Linked DNA regions of Macaca fascicularis. The protein of the gene in region 1 interacts with the protein of each later gene in a pairwise test. Links are inferred from orthologs where the notes say so. Each region holds a gene or a part of one and is shown in the gene's direction. Other genes may lie near its edges.

Region 1 (3,952 bases):
CAGAGACTAATAGCAACTGGGTCCTTGTTAACTTGCTGAGCCACTGAATTAAAGTCTCCCTTGCTTCTGGGCTTTCTGTTATGCGAGATAAGCAACTTCCTCATTTTTTAGGAAGACAATTTAACTCAGATTTCATATCACATGCATCCAAAATAATCATAACTGACCCAAAGATGTTTGGCCTCTACAGTTAGGGCAGCCATGCTCAGAAGAGTATGCAAGGGTACCCTATTGTCTTGGAAAAGGGAAGCACTGAGACTATTTGCGATTTGAGAACTGAAAATGCAAATCTGCTAACCATCGTGAGAGTGAATATCCAGGTATAGAAAGCACAGTGGGTGGGCGTAGGTTGTGGTAGGGACATGTTTGTATGGGGCAAACACAGAGATTAAACTTAAGTGTAGTTCCAGCTGCCTGGAAGAATGCTAAGAAGGGTCTGAAACTATTGAGCTCCAAGAGCCCTTGGACCTCCTGATGAGAGACCGTTGGCTGATGCCCTCGATGGGACATCCCTGCTGGCTCCTGTGGGATCTGCATCTACGCACACCTACATCATTTGACTGATTTGAAAAGACAGGTTGTCAACAGCGACACCATGTGGCTATAAGATACAATCAAAATGGTGGACATTTACAGCCTGAGGTAGGGCCTGAAGCTTCGTCGAGATGTGGAAAATGCTGAATCGGAAGAAATGTCATCAACAAACATTTATTGGGGTCCTCCAAATGTCAGCTGCTACAGTGGTCAGCCAGGTCTGGAACATCGAGAACATGCTGACCCGTACCCCAGCAAGAGCTCGTAGTAGCGGCGGGGTAGGGGGCGAGAGAGAGGGCAGTCTCTGGAGGCCAGGTAACCCAGGCTTCACTTTCACCTACGGCCACAAGTATGTCTGACATCTTCCAGGCAAATAAGGCTCCATGTAAGTGACAGGGTACCTAAGGAGAGCGATGGAAACGCCAGCTTGCCCACGACTAGCCGACGCCTGCGTTTGCGATAAGCCCCGCCCCCAGTAGCTGAGCCAACCGGAGGGTGCGGGGCGGACCCAGCTTCCGGGTGAGGCTGGAGAGAATCGTTTGGGGGCGTTCGCAGGCTAAAGAGGGGCTGGCCCTCGACGCGCTCGGGCTCGATTGGCCGCCCTTCCCCGGCGGAGGTAACGGTCGCGGAGGCGGGGCCTGATGTAGTAATCCCAGCCTAGCCGGGGCCGGGCTGGCTGCTGGTGGGAGGCGGCGACTGAGGAAGGTGAGTGGCGCTCGGGGCTCTCAGAGGTGTAGTCGTGAGCCCCTTCTCGGAGCACCCCGGACTTGACCTCACCTGGGCCTAACAGTGGTCAGACTGACCCTTGTCAGGGAGGAGCCGCCTGGGATAGGGTCGCGCCAATTACAAATCCCTGCGTAAGGGTTTGGGGATGGGACAAACCTGCGTGCTAGCCCCAGCTCCCCAGGCTTTGTGTTCTTTGGCTTCTCCTTTAATGTCTCAGCGCCTCGGATTCTTTATTTGTATACTAAAGCTGGTAATTCTCGCCTTACAAAGTGGTTGTGTGGGTTAAATGAGGCAGTAAGAGTAAAGCTTAGAATCACAGCGGGCACAGGTTCGATTTAAGCTGTAGGTAATTACTCCATCCCCCAAAATCGACCCGGACTGAAGCGCCCGTTTTGTGGCAAACAACCGCGAAGGTGGTTTGGGGAGTGAGGACTCGGAGCAGAAGGGGGCGGTTAGGCGAATAGCACAGGTGAGTATCTCTTTCTCTGGTTTATTAACCTCATTCCGGATTCAGGAGACCTCTGACTTTATACAGGGCCTAATAGGAGTTTTTCAAGGTGAAAAATGTCGGAAGGCTAAGACACCTGTAACAGAGAGACCTGAGTTTCCTTTTTTACTGCCACTGTTTTTCAATCAGTGTTTCAATCACTGTTAATATTAAACAGGCCGGGCGCAGTGGCTCACGCCTGTAATCTCAGCACTTTGGGAGGCCGAGGTGAGCGGATCACCTGAGGTCAGGAGTTCGAGACCACCCTGGCCAACATGGTGAAACCACCATGTCTCTACTAAAAATACAAAAATTAGCCGGGCGTGGTGGTGCGCGCCTGTAATCCAGCAACTCGGGAGGCTGAGGCAGGAGAATCGCTTGAACTCGGGAGGCGGAGGTTGCTGGGAGCTGAGATCGTGCCACTGCACTCCAGCCTGGAGAGCGAGGTTCCGTATCAAAAAAAAAAAAAAAAAATATATATATATATATATATATATATGTATGAATATTATATTAAACACTGTGCAGGCATTATCCATATTGGTTTCAAGCCTCTGCAATGAGTTTTGTACTTTAAATATTGCCAAGTAGACTCTGGCCTCCCCTAACCCTGCCTTTTGGGGAAGAGGTGGCTGACTTGGAGTTTTCCCTACAGCTTTTGCTTCAAAGCAAGGTTCTGCCGCTTCATGTCACCTCTCGCGAGACAGAATGATTTGGTTGAGATGACATTCCATTTTAACTCTTTCCTATTTGGGGTAGGTTCAACTCTTTCTTAGGAACATTAAACAGCAAGTTGCCATATTTTCAGAATAGAGCTTTTGCATTTAATAAGGAATAGAGACTTCGAAAGGGTTACATGTTCATTTATTGCAGTAATTTGAAGTATATGCTTTTGAAGACGCTTACAGATTTTGTTGTGATTCAGTTGAGAAGGAACAGTTACTGGCCATGGTTTATTGTCAGCTCCCCTCCCCGACCCCAAATGGTGAAAAGATAATTAAATTTTAAGGTATGGAGCATGTTACAAGGGACTTCAGACCTATAAAGGGCAATTTGGCTGAAACACTCGGGAAACCTAGAAAGTGTCAGAAGATACAATTATGTTTTTGCTTTTCTATGCCTGGCTTACTATGCCATGTACAAGACAACTCCTACCCTCTGACTCCTACCCCCACCATCTTATTTTAAGTGTATTATGACACTAATTAAAGCTGTAGCTTCTGTTTTGGCCCTAGAAGGCATTTGGTCTCTTCCTGTGACTTTAAAAGTTCCAGACCTTTGTCCTGGAAGTAGGGACAGCCTGTAGTGGGGAAAAGGCTGCTGCAAACTATTGGCCTGTTAATTTCATAGAATGGACCTCTGAAAAGGAGGGTTTGGTCACAGGTGCAAATGAGGAGTAGTTTTGTTCCTGTGTTTGCTTTTGTGATCAGTTGTAGTTTGTCTGAGGATGCTTCATTTTAGTATCCTTGCAAATGAGAATATCCTACCTGTGGAGCCGGAAGTCAGAATTGATGATAGATGATGATAGATTTGGATACCCAGCTAAATGTCTTAGCAAGGTAGGGAGAGGAAAGATAAGGGGAGAGAAGAGAAGGGAAGAGGTGTATGGTAGTGAGCTGGGAAGGGCATTAGCAGTTATTTCAGTTGTGCCTGGTTTATCTGTGATTACCAGTACCATGGATGCCTGCTCTGGGAGTAACAGAAGACCATTCTTACTAGGAAGCTGAACATTTCAAGATTTTCTTCTTTTTATCTTTTTGAAACCTAGATGAAGATCCAGTTTCAGACATGAGACTCGTTGGGTGATCATTTCATTGAGATCAACCTGAATGACCAGGTGTAAAGTGCAAGAGTAGTATGCTATGACTGAGGTATGTCTAATGTAACGGATGACTCCAGATGTTGGGAGACCACGGAAAAGTATGTAATTTGTTGAGTACTATACTAGGTTCATTACATATATTTCCTTTGGACTTCCTGATAATCCTATCAGGTAGATATTTTACAACTTAGCAAAGAAGCTGAAGCTCAGAGAGGTTAAGTACCTACTTAAGATAACACAGAAAGCTGATCACCAACTCTAATCACTGTCTCCATCCTGCTGTGTGCCAGGCAATGCTTTATGTTCTTTCTGTATTAACTCTCCTAATCTTTAATTTGTGAGCTGAGTACTTTTATTATCCTCATTTTATGATGAGGAAATTG
Region 2 (4,298 bases), on another chromosome or scaffold:
ACAGTCCCTTCCCTGAGGAACCCAGGCTGGACTGAGGAAAAGGAGCCAAAAAGGGATTCAGGAATGACCAGTGAGTAGCGAAGGCCGCTCCTTGGAGGGCTCTGAAAACATACAGGAGAGGCAATGAGTGCTTGGGGTCGGTTAGGACGGGAGGCTGTATCTTAAAGGGCCTGAAGGCATAATCCTAGATAGACTACGCCTTAAAGGGCCTGGATGCTCTTCCAGGTGATAGGGTTGGGTAGGGCCTTTTATTCCTTATATCAAGGTAGTGAGATGCTCATCGTAGAAAATGATTAAATATGTAAAAACGAGAAGTTAAAATCACTTCGAAAGGCTGTATTTCGTTATTTTCCTATACATTTTTTTCCTAGTTAAAACTATATTTCAGGGGGATTTGTTTTGTTTTTGCTTAACACTAAAAGCTTCATGAACATCTTTTTAAGACGGCTAGACAGTATTTCATAATGGAATCAAATAACCAGTCCTTTAATGGTCTGCGTTTAAGTCCTTAGTAGACATCAAATGGCTTTCTGCCAGTTTTCGTTATTTGCTCTAAGATTTCTGCTTTAGGTTGTTTAAAACAGTCATATGGATGCGGCGTCAAGAATGGCTGGGGGGAGGGGGTGGAGACCAGGTGGGAGGCCCCCGGAGTCGCCCTGCAGCCTCCTTACCAACAAGTCCTCTTCCTCCCGGCCCCCACCCGTCAGCAGGCCGAGCTCAGGAGCTTGTCAACAACACGGGAGGGGGGCTCGGGTCTCCTTACAGACCTACCCAGTCCCAATTTACATTAAAAGTTGAGCCCAGGAGGTCGAGACTGCAGTGAGCCGTAATCGCGCCACTGCACTTGAGCTTGGTGACAGAGTGAGACCCCATCTCTCAAAAAATTCCAAGTCCGCACCTCCCCCCCACGACGATTCGTAAACCCCTTTTAAGTGTGAGAAGCACTGATGGAGACTGGCGGTTTCAGCTGTGCCGCACATTAGGATCAGCTGGGAGCTGGGCAGCACAGGCCACACCCCACACCAACCAGTCGGAATCCCGGCGACTGCACCAAGCCAGCGGAACCTCTCCAGCCGTGCCCATGTGCGGCCGCTTCCGAGGCCCGGTGCTCTAGGGAAGTGGGGTCGGGGGGAGCCTAACCATGGCCCGCCGAGCTGCGGTGGCTGCGGAACCAGACCCGAAAGGCACCGTCCCTGGCCGACGTCCTCCCGAGTGAATGCGCCAAACGGGCCTGGCTCAGGGTATGGGCGCCGGACACCGCACAGCATCCCAAAGCACGCGCGCGCGCTCGCTCCGCCCCGCTCGGCTCCTCGCTTTTGGGGCCGGGCCTACCCTTGGGGCGCAGGCGCGCTGACCGCCGCGGCGGGGGGTCGGCCGCCAGTGACGTCAGGACGCCGTGCGGGTTCCATCCCCCCTACAAGCCCCGGCCCCCACGTCCCGCGCGGGCCGGCCAGGGGCGGGGCGTCGGGCCAGCTGAGCTATCCCGTCAGACCGCGCCAGTTTGAATGAAAGCTCCACAAGATGGCGGCGGTCGGGGCCGAGGCGCGAGGAGGTGAGGCTGGAGCGCGGCCCCCTCGCCCTCCCCGTTCCCAGGCAAGCTCCCAAGGCCCAGGCGGCGGGGCCGGCCCGCGGGCCAGCCAGACGGCGACGTGGCGGTTCCCCGGCCGCCGCGCCCCCGACTCCGGGACGCACGCTGCGGGCGCCTACCCTCCCCCAGGCCGCTGACCCGCCTCCCTGCCCGGCCGGCTCCCGCCGCGGAGGTGGGCACCGCGCGAGCCTGGGGCGCTTCGGCTGCGGAGCGTGGCCTCTCCGCCCGCTCGGCCCGGCCCCCTTGGCGTCTCCCGTGGTGGCTTCGGGGGTCGGGGCCGCTCCCCGGCGGTCCCCGGCTGGAGGTCCCGGGGGCCCGGCTGCGACTGGCTCCTTTGTGGTGGTTCGAGCGCGGCGTGCGGCATGCGCCCGGGCCTTTGAAGTGGGAGGCGGGAAGCGACGCCCGCCGGCGTGAACATGACCTTAATATCAGAGGGGGAGAGGAAATCGGGGCTCCTGTGTGCTAAGGGGATAACCGAGGAACCCCCCCCCCCCCACAAGGCGGACACGCTAGGAGGTTGAGTGCCTCGTTGGAGAGTCGCCCAGAAAGTGGGTATTTGAGGTTGCAGCCTCTGGCTTACGGTAACTCTTCCACCCACCGGGAGCTTGGTGTTATTTCTGTGGACGCTGGGGAATTGGGCACCGAGCGCGCGTGGGTGTGGGCGTCGGGGGGTGTTGGTGTCGCGCACGCTTTGAGAGCCTGGAACTTTTCCGTGCGTTCTGGAATGTAAAGGTGTTTTCAAGCTCGCCTCCTCTCCACTTGGATTATGACCTCATTATCCCCGAGTTTTTCTTCCTTGGAGAATGTCAGGGGTTACTGTGAACTAAGCTAGCGGAAGGTGTTTGTGGTGGTCATGAACTATTTAATTTTGTCAGTGAAATATATTTCTACATTACTGGAGACTTGAGAGATTGTCGTTTTGCTTTTTTTTAACCACGTGTTTGCAGTTTTTCATGTTCACTTTTTTTTTTTCCTTTAAATTCTCGAAGAGCATTTCCTTTGCGGGTTGTGTTTTGAATCCTCAACTAGATAAAAATGTTTAGGAAAAGCACACAAACACACCTTGGGTAGATACTCAAGAGGAACCACCTTTATACGTGATCCCCTTAGTGAGGTCAGCTTAACACAAAACGTCCTCTAGTTTTTTTAGATGTAAGGGACTTACGGGGTCATTTCTCTCCTATCACTGTCCTACCCCCAAACGACCACTCCAAAGCAATCGGCCTCTTCCCCCACGTTTTCTGGAGGAAAATACCTTTCTCTTTACTGCTTTAGGATGGAGTCGTTTGCAGCCAGTGAGATGGTGGAAATTATGCTTAAGGGTTTCTGACAATGAAGTAGTCTCTGTGTGAGGTGGGGAGGATGAGGAAAGGGTGCAGGAAAAGTTATTGCTGCTAACAAGTGTTCTCCCTTTCCTGAAATTACCTCAAAACATAAAAGGTGATCGCAACTACCTTGGAGAGCTACCAAGTAAAGCTTGAGTTTACTGATAGATTTTGTTTGGTAACACCAGTTTTCTCCATTTTTTTCCAGTGAATGTGACAGCCAGACAGATTGAGACTTCACTAAAGTCACATAGCTCGGTGGCTGAGCGATGGGTAGGGCAGAGGACTTTTGATCCTGTCTAGTGCTTACCATGACACTGGCCCTAACACCAAGTTTGTTCCATTTTCCTAAACGTGTTTGTTAATTTACACTTTAAATTCAGTGTGGTAACATGCTACTTACAGAAATTTGAGGGTCAAATCTTCTGGAACACAATTAGTTTCTGGCTTCTGGAGGGTTGATGATAAGTATGTCTAATTTTCTTTGAGTTTAGTACATGGCTTATGTAAATTGAACACCGTTTTAAAAGTTTGGCTTTAAAAACAATACAGTCAATAAGTATTACAAAATATCAATATACTCTCCATTTTTTTAATAACTCGAGTTTATTCACCTTGGTGATAATATATTGCAGTATGGGTAAAATAATAAGTGGAATTAAAGCTTCATGCAACATTTCAAAGAGAAAACTAACATATGAGTTTGTAACGTAGAAATATATTTTAATTAGATTTCAGTTCGTTTTGTCCAGTTAAAAAAAAATGAGTTATGTGTTAACGAATTATAATGTTGTTTTAAAGTATATTTTAGATGTGTTTTTAAGAATAAGTGTCCTAGAGATTTACATTTTATTAAAATAGTGATTATAGTCTATGTAGAATACAATGAAAGTAAGAAACACTACCTCGTTGACCTGCATCTGCATATAATTTTTAAAAAGCTTACAGACATGAAACATTTTCGAGTGACTTAATGGAAATCAACTGATGTCAGTTAAACATAGTGGAGTAGAAATCCATGAGAAAATCCAAGAACACCAATTTAACGAAATAGTTCCTTAATGTTTAACTTTTTCTTGAAGACGCATAATTGGTTTCTTGTCATAGGAATTTTTAGTCTAAAATTGCCAGTTGAAAGTTGGGGAATAGAGGGTTTTTCTCTTTTTTATTTTAATTGAATAGCTATTTCATTAGTAAAGAATTCTATTTTCTTATTGTAGCTTGGTGTGTGCCTTGCCTAGTTTCACTTGATACTCTTCAGGAATTATGTAGAAAAGAAAAGCTCACATGTAAATCGATTGGAATCACCAAAAGGAATCTAAACAATTATGAGGTGGAATACTTGTGTGACTACAAGGTAGTAAAGGTAAGGCAAATGTCTAGCC
Region 3 (4,119 bases), on another chromosome or scaffold:
TAGACTTCTGAGCTTTCAATAAAGCTTCATTTTCCACTATGTGTTAGGCCATGTGCTGGATTACTAATACATTGAAATGAGTAACTTATAGTCCCTATGTGTCCAATTGTGGGGGAGATCTCAGTTTATAATGGTAGAAGAAAGCAATGGGATGATAAGAAAGGGCGTGTGTTAGGGGATATTGCCCACTTTTTGAAATTGGACCCCCATCCTTTATCAGAGTTACAAGAAGTCTGACAGCTGAAATGCTGTCCTCAAGTTGAGAAAATGACCCACCCCTTCCCTATTCTTGTTTCTTTCTCTCTGAACTCTATAATCCCTCACCCTTGCCAGGGATAAAGGAACTCTTTTTATACATTTTCTTCTTCCCCCCAGTTTTGATGTGGTGAAGGCAGGACTGAGGGTTCATCACCCCTACCACTCCTCCTAGCAGAACAAGATGACCTTTACCAGAACACACAAGGTCGTGAGACAGAATTCCCATGCCACGTTTGCTGAAGCTATTAACCGTTCTATAACCTGGCACCCCAGGACACCTTGACTGTCCCAACGAAGCACTGCCACCAAACCCAGTTTGGGTGGAGTCTTGGCTTTTCTTATTCCATGTCAGATTAGAGAGGTGACCCTTGGCACCAAGGTCCCATCATTCCCCACAGTACTTTTCCAAGACCCAGAGGGGATATGAGAGAGGAGAGACTTGCAGACTCCTCCACAAGGAACGGGGCTCCTAGGAGATGACATGGGAGTAACTTGTGCCTTGGCTGTGGTGAGCAGTAAGGGTACTCCTGGTATAGGTACAAACTGTGGGAAGTTTGGGCATCGCCATATCCACCTTGCAGGCGGATGTGTCAGATGGGCCACGGGTGTGTGTGTGGCGGGGGGTGCGGGGGGGGTGACAGTTCCTGCAAGGTAGGGTCGGAGGAAAGGAAAGACCTATGGAAAAGGATACACCTGGGATCTTGAGGAGCCAGCTGCACCTGTTTCTGGGCTGAGAGGCTTCCGGAGCCACCACAAGGTGGAGACCAAGGATGGCGGGGGTGGGGTCTTTTCAGACCGGTTGTAAGTCCTGGGGCTGGTTGTACCTCCTGAAGCCCGTTTGGCACAGCCTGCAGGAGGGACTTTGCAAAGCCGCGTCCAGGTAGTATATGAAAGGTGTGTTGAGCTCAAATGGTCAGCCCGGGGTCAGGGGGTTCTGGGGTGGCGGGGAGCCGAGAAGAGTGAGATCCACGAAGGAGGCTCTCACCCCTTGGCAGCGGGCGGCTGCCTTGAGGGGCGGGCTGTGCCTAGCGCGACTCTGGCGCCGCCGCCTGGGGGCAGCCGGCTGTGAGCCCCGTGGACAGGGGCGCCTGGAGACCGCCTCTCATGAGGCACTAGGTCCTGGTACTTGCTGGGGGTGGGGAGGGAGAGGGGCGCACAGCGCCCAGAGGCGGAAGCCAAGCGCGTGAGTCACTCTGTTCCCCTGGGTTAGGAGCGGGACTTTGCCTCCCGCCTGGGGTCTGCATTTCAGCTCCAGCTTCAGCGACTCATCCCAGCAGGCTGACCCCCTCCAGAGGCTGGACCAGCTGCCTCTCAGTCTAGGTGAGGTCCAGGCAAGTTTCTCGTCTTCTGATGCTTACTGTTTGGGGGACTCGCGGGGAGGGGGTCTTCCAGTCTGTGTCTGTCTGCCTTTGCTTCCTCCCTCTGGCTTTCTCCATTGGAGACAGAAAGTTAGATTTAAAAAACGCAACAGAGAATATAAAATCTGTGCTCAGACCGCAGATAAACAAAACTCTGGGGCCATATTCTTAATTTCCCAAGTACCTTCACATGTCCGAATGCGGCGTTTATGGAGCTAGGAATGTTATGTTTGTTTCGTGTATTTCCCTCCTCCCCCACTTTCCTCCGGTGTAATTCTTAGAGGTGGGGACAGGAGAGTCAGAGGGCTTAGCTGGGATCCTTTGCCAGAGTGGCTTCTTCATTCTCTGCGAGGTGGCAGATGTTTTACTGCAGCCTGAGTTGGGATCTTGGAACAACCCTCTTCAGCCCAGGACATGCCAGCGCTTAAGGTAACTGCAGTTGTTGCATATCTATCTCGCTATCATTGACTGAATCAAAATGTTCCGGAGGCACAATTAATGTGAATGCCACAATGTTGAAACATTCATTGAAGGACACTATTGAATGTTTTATTTTTTAACGTATTGTATTCCAGGAAAATTTTAGAAGACTATTGCTGGTTTTATTTTCTCTATTTTCAGATATGCTCCAAAGCCTATTATTCCCTTGCAAGACAACCAGTGAGGACCTGTTCTGTTTCTTATAAGGATTTAACAGTGCAAAACTACGTGTTAGTTTCTCCTCTAAGGTTAGGGAGTTCCTTCTATTAACCACTTTTAGAAAAACATTTTGGTGGTGTGGTGGCGGGGGGGAGATATTTCCCCTTTCTCTATCACTAAATGCAAAATGTTTCTGTGACTATTAAGTAAATACTAATTATTGTCATTTTTGCTTAAAAGGAGCAGAGGAGAGCATCTCTTGGAATGCATGAATTTGTGGTTCATGTTGATGACTGATTGCTTTACCATCAAATTGTTTGGTTTGATGCAATGTTAACAGGTGGTCTTAATTCACAACACAGAAGTATTCTATTCTAGAAAACAACCCTGTTGATATGCACACCACCGCCCCCCCACCCCCAACACGCACACACAAAACCATGTTTTTGTCTTGCTTTGTGGGAGAGAAAAATGGATGGGGGAATCTTTTCTGGCAGTTGATTAATCCCTGATCTTTCTTGAATTGCCATTCGTTTTATAACCTATAATTATAGAAAAGACCCCTCCTTGAAATAAAATTAATAAAACCTTACATGTTTAGTCAGATCACTGGAATAATTTTTTAGAGTTGAATGGAAGCTTCCATGATCCTCTTCCAATGTCCTCCCCAGGGAGCCGTTAAGCTTCCCACTTCTCTGATAACATAACTTCTCTCCTCTACATACCTCTGTCTTAGCTCTTACCACCTTATGATTCTTGGTTTACATATCCATCTTGCTTAGAGTAATAACATTTATGTGAAAACAAGGGTAATGCCTTATTAATCTTTGTATCCCTGGAGTCTAGTAAAGTAAGGTCTGTTTAAAAAAAATGAATGAATAAAATAATTTGGCAGTCCAGATTAGGTTTACCATTCCTTGAAATCCACCTGGGCATTCTTTCTCTTCACTCCTAAAAGATAAGTCATTTAATTCAATGATACTCAAAGTGTGGATCCTCGGAATACACTGTGTCCTAAATAAATGAGAGTTTTCTATATTTGAAAAAATCTGTATATTGTTGTGAACTTTAACTTTATTTTTATTTATTTTTATTTTTTGCTGAAAGTAACAGAAAAGCCAACTAAACATGGCTTGTAATACTACAGAAGTTTAGCTGGGCATAGTAGCATGTGCCCGTGGTCCCAGCTACACAGGAGGCGGAGGTGGGAGGATCCCTTGAGCCCAGGATTTTAAAGCTGCAATGAACTATGATTGCACCACTGCATTCTAGGCTGGGTGACAGAGTAAGACCCTGTCTCTCAAAAAGAAAAAAAAAAAAATAGAGAAGTCTGACAGCAGGTGATAACTGGAGTTGATTCAGTGACCCAACAATATCGGGGTTCTGAGTCAGTGTCTTACCCTCACGGCTTCAAGATGGCTCTAACAGCTCAAGACACTGAGTCCTGATCCCATGTTCAATGACAGGAAACAGGGTGGAAAAGGTCAGAGTATTTTTCCTCATGCAACTTTCTTATCAAAGAAAAAATATCTTTCCCCAAATTTATCTAACAGAATCCTACTTTGATCTCATTGGCAATATCTGGGGCACATAGCTGCCCTTAGTGGCAAAGGAGACTGGGAAAGTATCAGTTTTTTTCAGCTTCTATAGTGGAAAGGCAGCCAGGGAGAGGCAGGTAGGTGATGTATCTGTGGAACTAACCAGAAAGTCTACTAGACTGTCAAGAAGATAAGTCTATTTGCACCTGTGATCAATGTTCGGGCCAAGTAAAATACTAAACGTTAATCAACATAGCAAAAGCACACATTTAGAGCAGAGTTCCCCTCTCCACAAGGGTGTATGGTATTTTAAGGGTGCCAAATCA
Region 4 (4,039 bases), on another chromosome or scaffold:
GCGCCCCGGAGAGTGATTACCAGTGTGCCTTTCCATTATGGTGTGTCACAGGTGCCAGCCTTATTTTTCATGACTACTGTTTCCTGTCCTTCTGTGCCCTCAGGACACTGCCCATCTGTAAGATAAGAGCCTGGAAAGGGGACTCTATTGGCTACTGGAAATTGCAGAATAATGGCTCAGGTAAGTCGGTGTGTCCCCAAGTCTTCCTGAAACACTTCATGAGGCCTCTGTGTGTTTGCTTTGCTTCTGCCTATTCCCACCTAATCAAGTCCATTTAAGGGACTGGATCTATGGTTCCTTTCACTATAGGAAGGATGGAGCCCACAAGAGAACACCAAGGTATTGCTCTCTTCACCCAGTGTTCCTCTTTTCTACAGTTTTCTGCTAGAAGACTTTCTAGATTGCCAAAATTTTTAAACTGTAATTCACAATGCAACTTTGGAATGTAAGGTTATTTGGTTTATGGTTGTCAAAACTGTACCATGTGGTCTCAAGTGAAGAGATGTTTGGAGTCATCCTTGATTCTTCCTTTTGATTTATAACTAATATTCCGGTCCTCTAGTTGGATCTAAACGATACACCGTGTACAGCATCTAACCATTAGCTAGCCCATCACCACCACCACCCCTACCACCAGTCTGAGCCACCTGGATTATTGGGGTAGCCTCCTAGCTGTATTCCCAGCATCTGCCCTTAACCCGCATCAATCTATTCTCAGTACAACTGTTACTGTGATACTATTGTTATATAAATTCCTGTTATTCTTCAACCTAAAATTTTTCAGTGGCTCTAACTGAGTCACTTCTGCAGTGACCTATTTGTACAGTTAGGCCATTACCTCTCTGATCCCACCTTCCTTCTCTGCCTCCTCATTCCTTTGAGCTCTAGCCACTGTCACCAGTTGCTGTGCCATCCACGTGGAATATTCTTTCCCTACATATGCATAAGCTTGCATTCTTATCTCCTTCATGTATTTGTTCCGTGGTTACTTTCTCAGAAAAGCTTCCCTGAACGCCTATTTGCAATTGCAGTCACCTTCCCTTGACCAGCACTTCCACTCCTCCATCACTGCTTTGTTTTCCATGGCGCGTGTCACTCACTAGCTGATGTACTGTATGTTCAGTATATGCACCTGCTCATTGTCTGTTCCTGGTGGGAGGAATGTTTTTTCTTTTTTGTTGACTGCTATAGCTTCAGTACCCAGAGTGTTACCTGGCACCAAATAGATTAGTAGGTAATTGTTGGGTGAATAAGATGAGTAATGAAGAACTGGTGGGGCAGAATCATGGCATGGAAGGTGAAGCTTGCACAGGAGGGGATGTAAGTAGCAGATGTACATGTTGGGTGAAGTCTGTTTTCCTGGAATAATTAGATAATTAGAACTGAAAAACTGGCGTAGTGGTGCATGCCTGTTGTCCCAGCTACTTGGGAGGCTGATGAAGTGGGAAGATTTCTTGAGCCCTGTGGGTTGAGGCTGTAGTGAGCTATGATTATGTCACTGCACTCCAGCTTGGTGATAGGGCAAGAACCTGTCTCTTAAAAAAAAAAAAAAAAAAAAGGAAAGGCTAAAGTGAGCTAATACCAAAACGATTCATTGGTTCATCTTCTAAACACTTACAAAGTACCTGTTAGGAAAAGTTATACATGGATTTCAGTGTACACTGACACACAGAACTTCATGATCTAGTGCAGTATTGTCTAAGAGAACTTTCTGCAGTGGTGGAAGTGTTCTGCATGTGTACTAGTCAGTACGGTAGCCACCAGCCCTGTGTGACTATTGAGTACTCGAATTTTAGCTTAAGCAACAGAGGAAATGAATTTTAAATTTTATTTAATTATTTTATTTTTACATTTTAATTAATTTAAATGTTGTAGCCAAGTTGGCTAGTGGCTCCTGTGTTGAAGATTGCAGCACTGGTAGAAAAGTAAGAAAGCATAAGAAATTTAAATAAGTGCTAGCATAGATATCCTATGTTCTTTTGGGGGCTCAGATGAGTGAACATCTCAAGCTGCCCGGGCAACTGAAGGGGAAGAAAGAAGCATTCTGGCTCTAAGTTGTAATGACTGGTTTGTCAAAGATATGAGAAATGTTATTTTTATTTGGGATATAGGCAATTAACTAACACAGTGGCAACTCCAATTAACAGGTGAATTTAGAATAAATTTTGTGTAGCAAATTGAACTGTCAAATCTTACTTGAGGATAAGTTATTGTTTATTTGGAAAACATATGTGTTGGATTGTATCTGCTTGCCTATATAATAAGATGAGATTTCTTCCTGTCCTTTTAATCTCAATAGTGGATTGCTTGTGAAGTGCCTCAAGGTCTGATTTAATGCTTATTCAGTAATAAAACCGTTTTCTTTTTGTTTCTACATTTGTGGAGAGGATTTTCTGCCATTGGAAGGAGGTTTGAATTTTAATTGTTTTCCCCAAACCTGAGAAAAGTAAATTCTGGCTTTAAAACCAAAGACCCATGTCACTTGTGAACATGCATGCAAAATATCCAAATAAAGTGCTACAATACTGAATGAACTCTCAGAGCTAAAAAATAACCACAGTAGAGCAGTCTGTTTTACAGATCACAGACAGTAATAATGCTGTATTAAATGGATGTACTTTTTGCACATATTGTAATTTGACTAGCCAATAAGCTACTATTGAATATTTAAGCTTCTAAAGTTTTACTATTTTAAATAATACTGTGAAATGAGTACTATTGAGAAGAATTTCTAAGTACATCTGTGAGCATTTTTTTTAGAATATTTTCTTTGAAATGTGCTCTTTTGTTTTTTTCTGTTACTTCCAGGTCCTATTTAAGGACTGTCTATGGCAGGAGTCCTCAACCTTTTTGACACCAGGGATCAGTTTTGTGGAAAACAATTTTTCCATGAAAGTGGGAGGTGGTGGAGGTAGTGGTTTGGGGACGAAACTGTTCTACGTCAGATAATCAGGCGTTAGTTAGATTCACATAAGGAGTGTGCAACCTCGATCCCTTGCATGCGCAGTTCACAGTAGAGATTGCGCTCCTCTAAGAATCTATGCCAGAGCTGATCTGACAGCAGGCGGAGCTCCGGTGGTAATGCTCACTTCCCTGCCACTTACCTCCTGCTGTGTTGCCCCATTCCTAAAAGCCACAGACCAGTACCAGTCCGTGACCGGGCGGTAGACCCCTGATCTATGACATCTTCAGTCTTTTCACCCAGGAGTCTCATATTTCAATTATTAAATGTTTGTCAGTACTCAGTTTAAGTATACACCATAAATATATTTTTGTTTTTTGTTTATGAATCAGTTGTGTGTATATTTTAGTCTGTTTGTGCTGCTGTAACAGAATACCCCAGACTGAGTAGTTTATAAATAATGAAAATTGACTTCTCATGGTTTTGGTGCCTGGGAAGTCCAAGACTAAGGGGCAGACATCTGGCAAAGGCCTTCTTGCTGTGTCATTTTATGGTGGATGGGCAAAGAGAAGAGAGAGAGGCAAAGAGGGGCCTGAACTCATTTTTTAAAATAAGGAACCCTCTCCCCTAATGATGACATTAATCCATTCATGAGGACAGAGTCCTCAAGGCCAATCATCTCCTAAAGGTCTCACCTCTCAATACTATTAGAATGGCGATTAGTTCAATATATGCTTTTTTAGGGAATACAATCAAACCATATGTCTTATCAGTCTTTAATATAAAGATGTCTTTTTTTCTGAACCCATTTTTTGTGAGCTTTAGTGAATCTTCCTGAGTATCCCATTTGAGAGACAATCACTTTAGCCTTATTTTCACTTACTTATTTTAATTACTTATTTTTAATTACTAGCACTTAGCTCTAAAAGATATAACTAAATACTTTGTGCTGTCAAATGTCAAATGTTGCCTTTTAAAAATTCATATAATTCTAAACTTTTAACAAAATTAACTCTACTGAAGTGAAGCTATCATATTTGTCTCTCATTCTTATTGTGTAAAAATTCTAACTACATAACTGTCCCCTTTATTGTATGTTAATTCCAACTACATAACTGTCCTGTTATTACTTAACTG
Region 5 (4,225 bases), about 79 Mb from region 1:
GTAGGGATCTTCTGCATTAGGGAGTAAGGAGAATGACAAAAGGTTCTTGGGGAAAAGACTGAGGACTAGGGGTCTGGACACAGGAGTTGTCCTTGGAAATGGAGTACTGGGGAGAGTGTGTTCCCTGAACAGGAAACTGGTGGGTCACAATGCATTGGGTCTGGGGTCAAGCTGTAGTGGAATGAAGTTGCAGCTGTTGGAATAGAAGTTGGTTTGCTCAAGATGCCCAGTTTCTGGCCCAAAAGGTGGGCTGTAGGCCAGGAAGAGGCCACCCAGCACTGCGGGGCTGAGCACTGGCAACAGAAGGCAGAGGTTGCTATGAAGTAAATCTGGAAGATCTGCATCCCAGCTGCTGCTGTCACGACAGGTGGCCTCCCAGGGAGCTCTCAACCCTCACCCCCTTCCTGCACCTGGGCAAGAGCCTTAGTACCTTGGGCTGATGCTCTTTCCTCTGTAAACAGGGGGCCAGACTGTGATCCTCTGGCTCTGGGGGCTGGCTTCACCTCGCTAAGCTTCGATTTCTTCATTTGAGAAGCGGGCCCGCACAGGCTGTCGTGAATGTTAATTTCGATCAAGCACCTAAAATGCACTGCCGGCACATGGGGGCAACTGATGAATTTTTCATTTTTAGCATCGGGGTTTACATTTTCTTAAGAGCCCAGTAACGACAGTCTAGGGCATTCTTTATTTCTGATTTTAAGAGGTGATGAGGACCGTAGGCGTTCATCTGTTGAATGAATGAATGCCTGCAGAAACTCGTTTTATTTAGAGTCCCATGTTGATTTCCGCATGCACGACCCAGGCTCCTCACTTTCAGGCTCGGCGTCCACCTACAAGCCGGCGATTCCTGAGAGCCTACAGTGCGCCCGGATTCACGCAGCTCGTTCTCATTCTCACCTCCACCATCGAGGAAAGTGAGGCTTGGGCAAGATCTGACACGCCCAAGATCTGCCCAGCGGTGGGGGTGGGAGCTCCGCGTGCAGGCTCTGGCCCTGGACCGCTAGGGCAGCCCCTACCACCCCCGCACGAGAGTCCCCTCCCACTAGGGTACCCGGCCCTCGACCCACCCTCGGGGTTTCCGCGGCGCGTTCTCTGGCGGGACAGCTGGAGCCAGAGGCAGGGCTGTTTACTCCTCCGACTCGGTTAATTCTCTCAGCCTCAGTCTGATTTAGGTGGCGGCGGGGGAGGGATGTCCTGGGGTCTCCGCTCTCCTCTTTCTAGCCTTCCCGTAGACCTAGGCCGTGCATGGGGAGCTGGAGTGTCGAGCGGTGGCCGGGCGTGGCCACGTCCTAGTCCTGCGTCGCCCGGCTTCGGCGCCCGCGGGGGTCCCCGGCCCGCCTCCCGCCCACGTGGCCGGCCCGGCCTCCCCGCCCCCGGCCCCGCCCCGCCCAGGGGATCCGCCGCCGCCTCCGCGGTGAGTTCTCCAGCCTGGAGAGGCCGAACTAGCGCGGGGGCCGAGGTGAGTGCGGGCAGCAGCCGGGAACCCCGCTCCCCGGCTAGACCCTTCCCGGCTGGACACCCCCTTGGTGGGACACCCCCGCTAGATCTCCCGGAGTGAGACCCTCTTCCGGGCTGGTTCCTCCTTTGCCCCGGTCCCGGAGCTGGACCCCCGCCACTCCCACCTCCGAGTTACCCCGCCAGGTCTCGGCGCCCCCGGCGGGACCTGAGCGCTCCCTGGTCTAGGGTACGTCCAGCGCACGGGGGCGCACTGGGCGCAGTGCAAGTGGGCAGTGCCACCGCCAACCTCGACCAGTCGTCGCTCCTGCTGGGGACCCTGACTCTGGTCCCCGGGTAGCCCCTTGAGCGAAAATTCCCGGAGCCACTTCCTGGGAGGGAGGCGCCACCTGTCCTGGGACGCGCCCCTTTCGCCCAACTTTCTTCTCCAGCCTGGCGGGGCACTCGCAGGTCAGCGTCGCGTTGCGCGCTGCTGGTGGCGGCTCACAGGGCTGCGGGTCACTTCGCGGCGGGCGAGCCGGACTCAGGGCGCTCCGGGCGGCGGGCACCGTCCCAGCCTGCCTGAGGCCCTTGTCCCGGCGGCTGCATCTTTTAAACCGAGCGGCCAGAAGATCCAGAGATAGGACGCCAGGGTGGCGGACGCCAAGGGGTTAAGGTCAGCGTGGGTGCCTCGCAGCCAGAGACGGGTGAGCGTTTTCTGAGGCCGACTGAGCCGAGTGGAAACGGGTTCCCATGGGCTTTGCGGTGGTGGAGAGCTGCTTTTGCACTATCAGCGGCCCCATCACGCGCTTGAATGTTGCGGAAACAGAGCGCCTTGTTCCTAGAGGACTCGGGTTGCTGGATTTACTGCCTGTCCCAGGCTTGCTTCCCGCACTGGGCGAGGACGTGGGAATTGCCAGACGGTAGTTGACCTGAATGTACCGGTAGAAACTTATTTTTAAGCGTTTCATGCACTACCCAGGTATAACCACTTTCTTCCCTGGGGTGTGGAGGAGGAGAGCTTCGCTGGATCTTTGTCTTAGCTGTGTAGTCCTGGGCAAGTTACTTCACTTACCTATGCCTCAGTTTTCTCATCTGTAAGGTGGGGATGAAAATAGTACAAACCTTAAAGACTTGTATAGGGATAAAGTGCTTAAAATACTGACTGGGGCAGGATAAATCCTCTGTGTTAGCTGCTCTTGTGATTATTATCACTGACATCTAACAGCGCGTACACAGCCCTAGCTTCTCAATGAGGTGGGTCTGCAGGCTGTTGCTCCTTCCCCTTCTTCTGGTAAGGAGCTGGTGGTGTTTACACAGGAGCCATGGTGTTCTCTTCCGCCCTGGGAAATTTGAGCTTTGCTGTAATACTTCCTGTGGCTAACCAGCCTTGTGCAAAGTATATCTCAGAATGTGGAATTAGAGATGAACTTTGTCAAGGACTCTGTTGGGAAGTGGGGTCTTGGATCTTCTTTGGAAGCTCTGGGGTGCGATTGGATGTTTGCCTCTTGTTGGCGGGGGGAGGGTGGGTAGATTTCACTTGATTCTTTTAGGCCTTGGGTCCCCTGACAGGCTGATATTGTCTAGTCTCTGTGAGTGCGGGAGTCTCTTTCAGGGTCCGGGGACCTGATCTTGTCTTCTTCTCCCGCATTCATTCATCTCTAGCAGATTGCTCCCTCCATCTGTAGAGTTCTCCTGGGCTGCACCCGTTTAGTATCTTCTTGGAAATTTAGTTTCTGTCTTCTGAACTCCACAGATAAGAGCTCTGTACCTGGAGCCCCAGGGAATGTCCTGAAATATACATGAGGCACAGTTATTTTTCCAGAAGTTTCCCCTTACATTGTATTCTCCATGAGGCCTGTAAGTGGACTCTGAACTTCTGGTAGGAAAGTGAAGGTTCTTGCCCCCGTTACATCTCAATTCCCTGCAAATTGGGGGCTGCCCTTGTTCACCCTCCCAGAACGCACTTTTCAGTAGGCAATACAGGTCAGCCTTGACTTGGTCAATTAGGGGAAAGAGACGCAGGCTGTGAGATTAGGCACTGTTGGCCTGTGGTGAGACCTTTAGGCTGGGATGCAATTCATGAACGTTTGAGTTCAAGTTTTCAGAAGACTTCTGAGGGCCTTTGCACTTGCTGTTCCCTCAACCTAGCATGCTTTTCCATCACTTCTTCCATGCTGGGCTCTTTCTTGCCCTTTTGCCCAGATGTCTCCCCTGTACAGATGGTTCTTCTGACTACTCTATCCAAAGCAGCCCCTCCCCCATTAGTTTCTATCACATTCTTTCTTGTATTTTATTCATAGAGCTTGCCTGGGATGATCTTATTCATGCATTGATTTATGGGTTTATTGTGTGCATCCACCCAGGAGAACATAGGATTCAAGAGGGCAGAGGTGTGTTGTCCTGTTCACTACTGACTCCTGGCCCATGGCATATAGCTGGTGCACAATAACTGTCCTGAGTGAATGAACACCCATTGACTGAAGTGAGGCGAGTTTGGAGAGTAGTGAAATGCAAAGGAACTAGTTGCTGGTCGGGAGCTCAGGGTTGAAAGTGACCATGAATGTGGCATACTTTCACCTCCAGATTAAATCACCTCTGCAACATCTCTTCCTAGTTACTGTTTAACCTAAGCTTGAATCCTCTAGGCACAGGGAACTTGTCGCCTCCTGCAATAGCCTGTTCCATTGGAGGAGAGGGAACAGAGAACTATTGAAGGAGAGGGAACAGAGAACCAGATGCAGTCCCTGTACCACTGTGATGAGGACGAGCTGTGGCCTCCTGCATGCTA
Region 6 (4,122 bases), on another chromosome or scaffold:
CGAGTCACGGACAGAACATGCAGACCCAGGCCTCGGTGACCTAAGCCCCGCATTGCTAAAACCACGTGACCTCGAGGGCTGACTGGCCTGAGACCCCTGGATGGCGCTCTCGGTCACCCCCACTTCCCACCCCAACCTCCTGGGTTTTGGTCAGAATCCACAACCGGTGCCCAAAGAGCGCTTCCCACCTCTGGCACCCTACCTTCGCTGAGCTCCAGGGAAAAGAGGAGAGGGCAGCTTTCTGCAGTCAGAGGAAGGGTACATTTTCTTTGGCCTCTCTACCCTCTAAAGCAGGACGGCCCGCTGAAGGAGGACGCACTTCTGAGGGGCCCAGAGCTTTTCCAAGTTTTCCCCTGCCCCCTGAAGACTGTGCACTGAGCTGGGCGCAGTTGTCGGAAACTGTTTGCACCCAGATTGCTGGGGGTCGGGGGTCGGGTGCGGGCAGAGCCGAGAGGCTGTCCAAGTCTGAGAGAGAGAAAAGTTTCTCCCAGGACTCGACCTTGGCCTCCAGCAATCGCGACAGCTAAAAAGGGACCTCTCGCTTCGACAACAGATCTCGCGGACCTTCTGGCACCTGGTTCACCAGGACCCTCGAACTCTGCCTCGGGAGACTTCTTGAAATCCGGATGCTCAAGCCGGGAGGCGCGCAGTAGCCAGAAGGATGAGAGGCCCGGGTTTGGACTAGGAAAGCGGCCTTTTGAAACAGATGTCAGGGGCTACTGGGAATGCAGCCCAGAGCCATGAGAAAAAAGTTAAAGGCGAGATGACACACACTGAATTGGGGCAAACATTGGAAGAGGGGACAAAACTGCGTGCTTGAGCACCGGGGTGCGGGGGAGGGGGGACAAAACTCGTATCCAATGGAAATTAAAGTCTTGGGAGGAGGTGGGGGCTCCTGCGCGCCCTTCACCCTCAGTTCCCCTATTAAGGATTCCGCGTCCCCTGCACGCCTGTCTTCTAGCTCCTTCCTTCCTCTCCGCTCGGCCGGTGAGCGGCGGCCGCCAGCGCCCCAGCAGCAGCTAGATGTCAGGCGAAGCCCGGAGCGCGGAGCGCGGGGAAGGGAGGGGAAGGGAGGGGAGGGGAAAGGAGAGGTGGGGCGGGGAGCGCGCGCGGGCTCGGCCAGTGCGGGGTGGTGGGCGGGCTGAGCCCGAGGACGGCGCGGGAGGGGGGAGGGAAGGGGGGCAGCTGTGGGCAGGGAGCCGGGCTCGGCCGCCAGCACTAAAGATGGAGAGGCGCCGGGGCCTTGCAGGGGAGGGGGCTCGGCGTTGACGTGGGACGCGGCGGAGGCGCAGCAGCCGGTGGTGATTTGCTAACCTCGCAGCAGAGAGGAGTTGAGGGCGATGAGAGCGGGTACTGCGAACTGCCGGGCGATGCTGTCGCTGCCGCCTTGATACGGAGAGCAACAGTTCCCCAGCAACACCCCTCCCCGACACAGGCACACACCCCCCGACAGGCACGCACACCCACCCCACAGTGCCCGGCTCGGCTGCGGTGAGTGAGGGGCCGGGAAGAGGCGCACCGCCGAGCGAGCGCCGCGCGCCGGGGCTCCCCGGGGCTGGAGAGGTCTGGGGGGCGCGCGCTCGCTTCGGCCACTCGGCCGCTGGGCTTGTGCCTTTTTTATTTGGCGTGTTCCCTTCCTGCCGCTGCAGCCGTCGCCGCAACCGGTTGGGGGTCGGCTAGAAGGGGGAGCCCCGGCTGTCAGCCTGGGCACAGCTGCCTCCCCAGCCCTTCCTCTCCAGGGCACGGTCGGGGTGAGAGGTGGGGGGCGTAGCGGTCTGCGGGGGCTGAGGGCGTGAGCAGAGGGTCGGGGATCCGGAGGCTTTGTACCGCCAGGGGCCAGCGGAGGAACAGAGCCCGTGGGTGCTCTTATGTATGCGGACCGGTGCGCGGGCGCGAGATAGGGTTGTGGTTTATTTATTTGTGTGTCTATTCGCCGGCCGGCTGGGAAGCTAGAATCGGAGGAGCTGACGAGTAGATCTGGGGGCGGAGGGGAACAGGACTGGGACTGCTTACGTTTTGTTTCTGTTTGAAAAAACGTGGTGGGCTTTTTATTGATTGGACTTGATCCCCCCCTTTTGCAGGGGAGGGAGGGAAGCTCCAGAGGGTCTCCAGCGCTCCGGGCCCTCCTCGGCTCTCGACGGGACCGGCGGTGACACCGGAGCTCGCCGTGCGCTCCCGGCCGCTCTCGGTGGGTGCGGGTCTCTGCACCTGATGCGTTCGGGATGCCTTTCCCACCCTGGCGCGCCCGCCGCTAGCTCGCACAGCGCCTCGCACACGCCCGCACGCGCTTGAAATGCGCAGGGTCCCGCCGGCCCACGGACCCACTGGGACGCACGGAGCGCTCCGCACCGACTCGCTCGCCGCCTCCGCGAGACGCTCGCACGGTGCTTCGGACGGGCGCGCCGGCCGCTGGCGCCGCTGGCCAGAGGCCGGGGACCCAGCCGGTCGCTTCCCGGGGGTCACGGCCCTGGGTCGGAGAGGGAGGGCGGGCAGACCCCTTCTCGCCTTTCCTCCTACAACTCGTTTGCGGGGCTTTTGTGCTTCCCCTTCGCCGCGGGGCGGGTCCGCCTCCCTGCTGCTCTCCCCGCGGAGTCCAGCCCGCCCGGACTGTCGCCTTTTTTCCCAGTCTCTTTCGCTTTCCCTCGTCCCTAGCCCAGCTCTTCATCTTTCAGGCGTCTAGCTCCTCGGGAAAAGTTGCTTCCCCAAGTTTGCTGAAGTCGTCTCCAAGTCTCGGTGGGGGGTCGCTGGGAACTGGAGGCGTGTGAGAGCACGGTCGATCCCCGGAGCTCAGGCGGGTTCTCGCCGGTTCTTCCCCGCGCCGCCCGGCTGGACGCTGCAGCCAGCGCCGGCCGAATCGCGGGCGCCGAGCGGCGGGTGGGGAAGACGGCTGCCCGTGGGCGCCCCGATTTCCCTCAGGACCCAAAGGGCTTGTTTTGGGGCGCCAAGCTTCCATTCTTTTGGCTGTTCCCTCCTAGTTCTCAGAAGCCCCGATGTCTGCGGGAAAGCACGCGGTGGCCAGGCTCTGCTGAATGTTCATCCCACCCTTGACGGCCTCCGTCCCCACCCCGGGGTAGGCAACAAAAGTGTCTTGACCAGCCGTCCTGTGAATCCTTTCTGCGTGAGCTTGGTGGCTCCTGAACTGATAGAGCTTCTTTTGGGGGTGGAGGCAAGCAAGCAGTGTTCGAAGAGTGAGGGAGAGACCTTGCTGTTCCTTGCTCTCAGTGCATTCACTGCAATATTGGTCGCTGCAAGGCAGACACGGGGAGGGCCCTGGGCCTGCGCGGTCTTTCTAACACTCGTTAAGCGGGGTTTGGAGTCTAGGAGCCCTCTTATTGATCCCGAACAGGCTCTGGGAGAGGCCTTTGTTTCCCAGCCCTGTCTTCCCTTCGTACTGGTTGTAACTCACACCACAGATGCTGGTGCCAATATCACTTCCAGCGCCTCTGAGCCATGTCCGGCATCCCTTGCTGCCCCTGGTCACAGGACTTGCAGACTCCTTGGAGCCTGTGGGACACACGTGGAGTTCACACACCCAGCCCAGCATAAGCGCTCCTGGCTGTAGGGGAGCATATTTACTGTGGTCTCTCTCCATACCTTAATGATCCATCCTTCTTCGTTTTTTAGATCCTCCTGTCCACCGGCCAGTTGTGGGCAGGACGGTAGGTACGGCCCCTTATATAAGTGTGTGTGTGTGTGTATGTAAAGACACACACACACGCTTTTTTTTTTTTCTGAGACGGAGTTTTGCTGTTGTTGCCCAGGCTGGAGCGCAATGGCACAATCTCGGCTCACCGCAACCTCCGCCTCCCGGGTTCAAGTGATTCTCCTGCCTCAGCCTCGCTAGTAGCTGGGATTACAGGCGGGTGCCACCGCGCCTGGCTAATTTTGTATGTTTTGTAGAGACGGGGCTTCTCCACGTTGGTCAGGCTGGTCTCGAACTCCCGACCCCAGGTGATCCGCCTGCCTGGGCCTCCCAAAGTGCTGGGATTAGAGGCGTGAGACACTACACCCTGCCCCACACACTCTTTCTGTCTCTGGCTGGTGTACATACACACAGTGCAGATTTTAGATTATACATACAATAACTTTGAGGCTTCCATGGGTAGAAATGACCTAAGTTTG
Region 7 (3,500 bases), on another chromosome or scaffold:
GCTCTTGACAGTATACTATTAACTGATTTTCCTTTTTGCTTCCTCTCCTATTTCACCTTTTCTTTAAAGCCTCCTGTTCAGGTATACGGTATTGAAGGTCGCTATGCCACGGCTCTTTATTCTGCTGCATCAAAACAGAATAAGTTGGAGCAAGTAGAAAAGGAGTTGTTGAGAGTAGCAGTAAGTAGCTTTCCTATTCATTATATATTAAGTTCCTGTTTGTATATTTTTTCCTTTGGTTGGTTGACTGCATTCCTAATGAGGTGTATCCTCCAAGAAAAAGAACTGGGAAAAAGCCATTTTCTGTAAACACGTTTTTAGTGATAATGTTGGGTTTTTGTTATTATAAAACATATAAAAAGAACAAACAGATACATATAAGGATATTAATATTAGGAACCAAGATTTGGGGCTAAGAAAAGATAGAAATGTAAAATTAAAATAGATGATAATTTAGGAAAATTGCTATTTCAGTGGAGAATTTAAAAGCTACCTTTAAAAATCTATACTTATAACTGGGCACGGTGCTCACACCTATAATCCCAGTACTTTGGGAGGCCGAGGCAGGTGGATCAGGAGTTCATGAGTTTGAGACCAGCCTGGCCAACATAGTGAAACCCCATCTCTACTAAAAACTACAAAAAATTGGCGGGGCATGGTGGTGAACACCTGTAATCCCAGCTACTCTGGAGGCTGAGGCGGGAGAATTGCTTGAACCTGGGAGGCCGAGGCTGCAGTGAGCTGAGATCGCACCATTGCACTCCAGCCTGGGTGATGGTGCAAGACTATCTCAAAAAAAAAAAAAAAAAAAAAAAAAAAAAGATTATATGCTTCTGGGCTAGGTCTTTAGAATATATTGTGATTGGGTTTTACGGAGAATTTGTTTTCATAAAACCTTTGCCTCGGGTTTTAATTGCCATATTCTATGCTTGTAGAATCAGAGGAGGCTCAGACATGTCTTACAGGTTGTTTTCATTTGGTAGAGATGCTTTGCAATTGTCAGAACCCCAGAAGTAACCATGTAGACCTTTTCATTGTTATTTTGTTCCCAAAATGTGACAGAAGAATGACAGGCTGGGGCACGCTGGGCAGCAGAGTTAGTAAAGGGGTATGGGCTTCCCAGGGGTAATAGAGGACTGACAGGCAAAGACTGTGAGGCCGCTGCAGGATGTTTGTAACTTTTTTTTAAACATGAAAAGCAGAATAAATAAACCGTATTAACAGAAGCCTACATTGTAACTCAATAGGAGAATGTCTGCTTTCATTTTCACTGAATTTTCTAGTTAACAAGTTTCTACACATTCTGTTGCTTCTTTCTTTGATTTTCTGGCTGCTACCACTGGCAGTAAGGTCTGCATTAAAAAAGGTGAAGGAGACGCAGTCTGGTATATAGCCTCTTCGGAGGAAGTTTTGTTCTTTCTTGATTTTAAGATTCTTCATTCCTTGGCCGGGCGCAGTGGCTTACACCTGTAATCCCAACACTTTGGGAGGCCGAGACGGGTAGATCATGAGGTCAGGAGATCGAGACCATCCTGGCTAACATGGTGAAACCCCATCTCTACTAAAAATACAAAAAAGCCCGGCATGGCGGCATGTGCCTGTAGTCCCAGCTGCTGGGGAGGCTGAGGCAGGAGAATGGCGTGAACCCGGGAGGCGGAGCTTGCAGTGAGCCGAGATCATGCCATTGTACTCCAGCCTGGGTAACAGAACAAGACTCTGTCTCAAAAACAAAAAAAAGATTCTTCATTCCTTAATTCATATGTCTGTAAGTTTTTATTGTTTAGGAAAAACAGTTCATAGGCCAGTTGTATAGAATAATAATTCTTATGTTCTATATTAATCATCGTGTGTATAGTCTATAAGTATTACTGTTCTGTACTGTTTATGTTTTATTCATTTTTCACTTGAGCTTCTGTTGGAACTTCCGTCTTAACAGGCAGAATAATTTTAGCTCCATATTCCTTCCTTGATCCATTTACCTCTGCAGATAATGCTTAAGGTCTTAGCTGGTGTGATAAACTCTTAATGATTCTCACAGAGCCCAGGAACCCAGCCCTGTTGTTGGAGACATTTGGAGGAAGGGCATGCAGGAACAGACGGGGTCTCACACAGGCGTTTTTGGAGGTGATGGTTATTGTCTGCTACTTGTCAGTTATGCCCATTTTAAACAGAAACAATCGTGTTTACAATGGAGAGAATGACTTGGATTGTGGGCATTAGAATGGAGTTTGTCTAAAGCCTGGAAGTCAGTCAAGACATGGAGAAAAAGGGAGGCAATTATCTGAAGACACTCTGAATATTAGCAGAGTTTTGGCATTAAGAGGGAAGGATAATGCAAGCATCATACTCACTGTCCTCTGGATGATGCAGGAGACACAGATAAACATGAAAAACTAGGTAACCCAAATTCCAGAATGCTTTCAATCTGTGTATGCCTGCATTTTTTATGGAAAAATGTCATTTCTGTGGGGTCACTCAAGTGGAAATGTTAGCATTGGATGATAGTATCTGACCAGTATCCTGGATCAGAGACAGGATTCTGGCCAGGAGCCTGGGAGGAGGTGCTAGGAGAGTAATTGAGGCATAGAGAGGTGTGTTAACTGAAGGTGCTTGACTGGAAGCTGCCATTGTTGGTTTGTTGGAACTCTGGAGCAACATGCTGGAAGCTGCACTTGGTCACTGAATGCAGATATTTGTGATATAACAAAATGAGAAGAAGGTCGTTTCCCATGATGGTTGTGCTCCCGTTTTTTGTCCACTCTGTCTCCCAGACTCTTTGGGTCTGGCTGCTCTGGCAGCACCAGAGGTCTCGCAGAATCTGCTGGGTTCCCTGGACACTGTAAGAGGCAGGACCCCTCCAAGGGAGCAGTGAGGAGGCCTCTGCAGTCAGAGCACAGTTTTGAGGTCTGCACTTTAGAAATAGCACTGCTAGAAAAGCCAGACTAATACTCTTAAATACATTAAAATATGCAGTCAAGTGAAGTTTGGCTGCTTAGTGTTTTATAATCTTTCTTGAAAAGCAAAAATAAATTTAAGAAATTTCATACAGTATTTTTAAATTTTTTTGAGGAACATCATTCTATCCTATATAAAATCCTGGTGCAGTGCAGTGTATTCTGAAAGGCCGTCAGAAAATTGTTTGATTATAATATTTTTGTCATAAGTTCTTTGGCAGTGCTAATTTAATTCATAAAATACTTAATTCATAAGAAAGTGTGTGTATGGCCAGGCACAGTGGCTCATGCCTGTAATCGCAGCACTTTGGGAGGCCGAGGTGGGTGGATCACTTGAGGTCAGGAGTTTAAGACCAGCCTGGCCAACATGGCAAAACCCCTTTTCTACTAAAAATACAAAAATTAGTCAGACATGGTGGCGCACACCTGTAATCCCAGCTATCTGGGAGGCTGAGGCAGGAGAATCGCTTGAACCCAGGATGCAGAGGTTGCGTGAGCCAAGATTGTGCCACTGCACTCCAGCCTAGGCGACAGAGCAAGACTTTG

What was found.
Region 2: the proteins of CEP70 (region 1) and SUV39H2 interact in a two-hybrid assay, tested with the Homo sapiens proteins (2 studies listed by BioGRID and IntAct). The link is inferred for Macaca fascicularis from reciprocal best matches to the Homo sapiens genes CEP70 and SUV39H2.
Region 3: the proteins of CEP70 (region 1) and SYTL5 interact in binary tests that used the Homo sapiens proteins (3 or more experiments, as listed by UniProt). The two-hybrid records come from large-scale screens. The link is inferred for Macaca fascicularis from reciprocal best matches to the Homo sapiens genes CEP70 and SYTL5.
Region 4: the proteins of CEP70 (region 1) and ZNF302 interact in binary tests that used the Homo sapiens proteins (3 or more experiments, as listed by UniProt). The two-hybrid records come from large-scale screens. The link is inferred for Macaca fascicularis from reciprocal best matches to the Homo sapiens genes CEP70 and ZNF302.
Region 5: the proteins of CEP70 (region 1) and ARHGEF3 interact in binary tests that used the Homo sapiens proteins (3 or more experiments, as listed by UniProt). The link is inferred for Macaca fascicularis from reciprocal best matches to the Homo sapiens genes CEP70 and ARHGEF3.
Region 6: the proteins of CEP70 (region 1) and ZBTB16 interact in binary tests that used the Homo sapiens proteins (3 or more experiments, as listed by UniProt). The two-hybrid records come from large-scale screens. The link is inferred for Macaca fascicularis from reciprocal best matches to the Homo sapiens genes CEP70 and ZBTB16.
Region 7: the proteins of CEP70 (region 1) and ATP5PO interact in binary tests that used the Homo sapiens proteins (3 or more experiments, as listed by UniProt). The two-hybrid records come from large-scale screens. The link is inferred for Macaca fascicularis from reciprocal best matches to the Homo sapiens genes CEP70 and ATP5PO.

What each region holds. Positions count from the first base shown.
Region 1 is NC_088376.1:41,433,976-41,437,927, reverse strand, and holds the start of CEP70 (centrosomal protein of 70 kDa), read left to right. Parts: upstream 1-1,152; 5' UTR 1,153-1,729; intron 1,730-3,515; 5' UTR 3,516-3,609; coding exon of another isoform or gene 3,610-3,618; intron 3,619-3,952.
Region 2 is NC_088383.1:15,808,148-15,812,445, forward strand, and holds the start of SUV39H2 (histone-lysine N-methyltransferase SUV39H2), read left to right. Parts: upstream 1-1,498; 5' UTR 1,499-1,521; coding exon 1,522-1,552; exon of another isoform or gene 1,553-1,593; intron 1,594-1,756; exon of another isoform or gene 1,757-2,136; intron 2,137-3,121; exon of another isoform or gene 3,122-3,182; coding exon of another isoform or gene 3,183-3,186; intron 3,187-4,133; coding exon 4,134-4,279; intron 4,280-4,298. UniProt on the Homo sapiens protein: Histone methyltransferase that specifically trimethylates 'Lys-9' of histone H3 using monomethylated H3 'Lys-9' as substrate.
Region 3 is NC_088395.1:37,836,405-37,840,523, forward strand, and holds the start of SYTL5 (synaptotagmin-like protein 5), read left to right. Parts: upstream 1-1,319; 5' UTR 1,320-1,578; intron 1,579-1,886; exon of another isoform or gene 1,887-2,045; intron 2,046-4,119. UniProt on the Homo sapiens protein: May act as Rab effector protein and play a role in vesicle trafficking. Binds phospholipids.
Region 4 is NC_088393.1:41,934,038-41,938,076, forward strand, and holds the start of ZNF302 (zinc finger protein 302), read left to right. Parts: upstream 1-1,239; 5' UTR 1,240-1,254; coding exon 1,255-1,320; intron 1,321-4,039. UniProt on the Homo sapiens protein: May be involved in transcriptional regulation.
Region 5 is NC_088376.1:120,162,251-120,166,475, reverse strand, and holds the start of ARHGEF3 (rho guanine nucleotide exchange factor 3), read left to right. Parts: upstream 1-1,425; 5' UTR 1,426-2,141; intron 2,142-4,225. UniProt on the Homo sapiens protein: Acts as a guanine nucleotide exchange factor (GEF) for RhoA and RhoB GTPases.
Region 6 is NC_088388.1:112,988,218-112,992,339, forward strand, and holds the start of ZBTB16 (zinc finger and BTB domain-containing protein 16), read left to right. Parts: upstream 1-1,322; 5' UTR 1,323-2,188; exon of another isoform or gene 2,189-2,975; 5' UTR 2,976-3,070; exon of another isoform or gene 3,071-4,122. UniProt on the Homo sapiens protein: Acts as a transcriptional repressor. Transcriptional repression may be mediated through recruitment of histone deacetylases to target promoters. May play a role in myeloid maturation and in the development and/or maintenance of other differentiated tissues.
Region 7 is NC_088377.1:13,016,715-13,020,214, forward strand, and holds part of ATP5PO (ATP synthase peripheral stalk subunit OSCP, mitochondrial), read left to right. Parts: intron 1-69; coding exon 70-180; intron 181-3,500. UniProt on the Homo sapiens protein: Subunit OSCP, of the mitochondrial membrane ATP synthase complex (F(1)F(0) ATP synthase or Complex V) that produces ATP from ADP in the presence of a proton gradient across the membrane which is generated by electron transport complexes of the respiratory chain.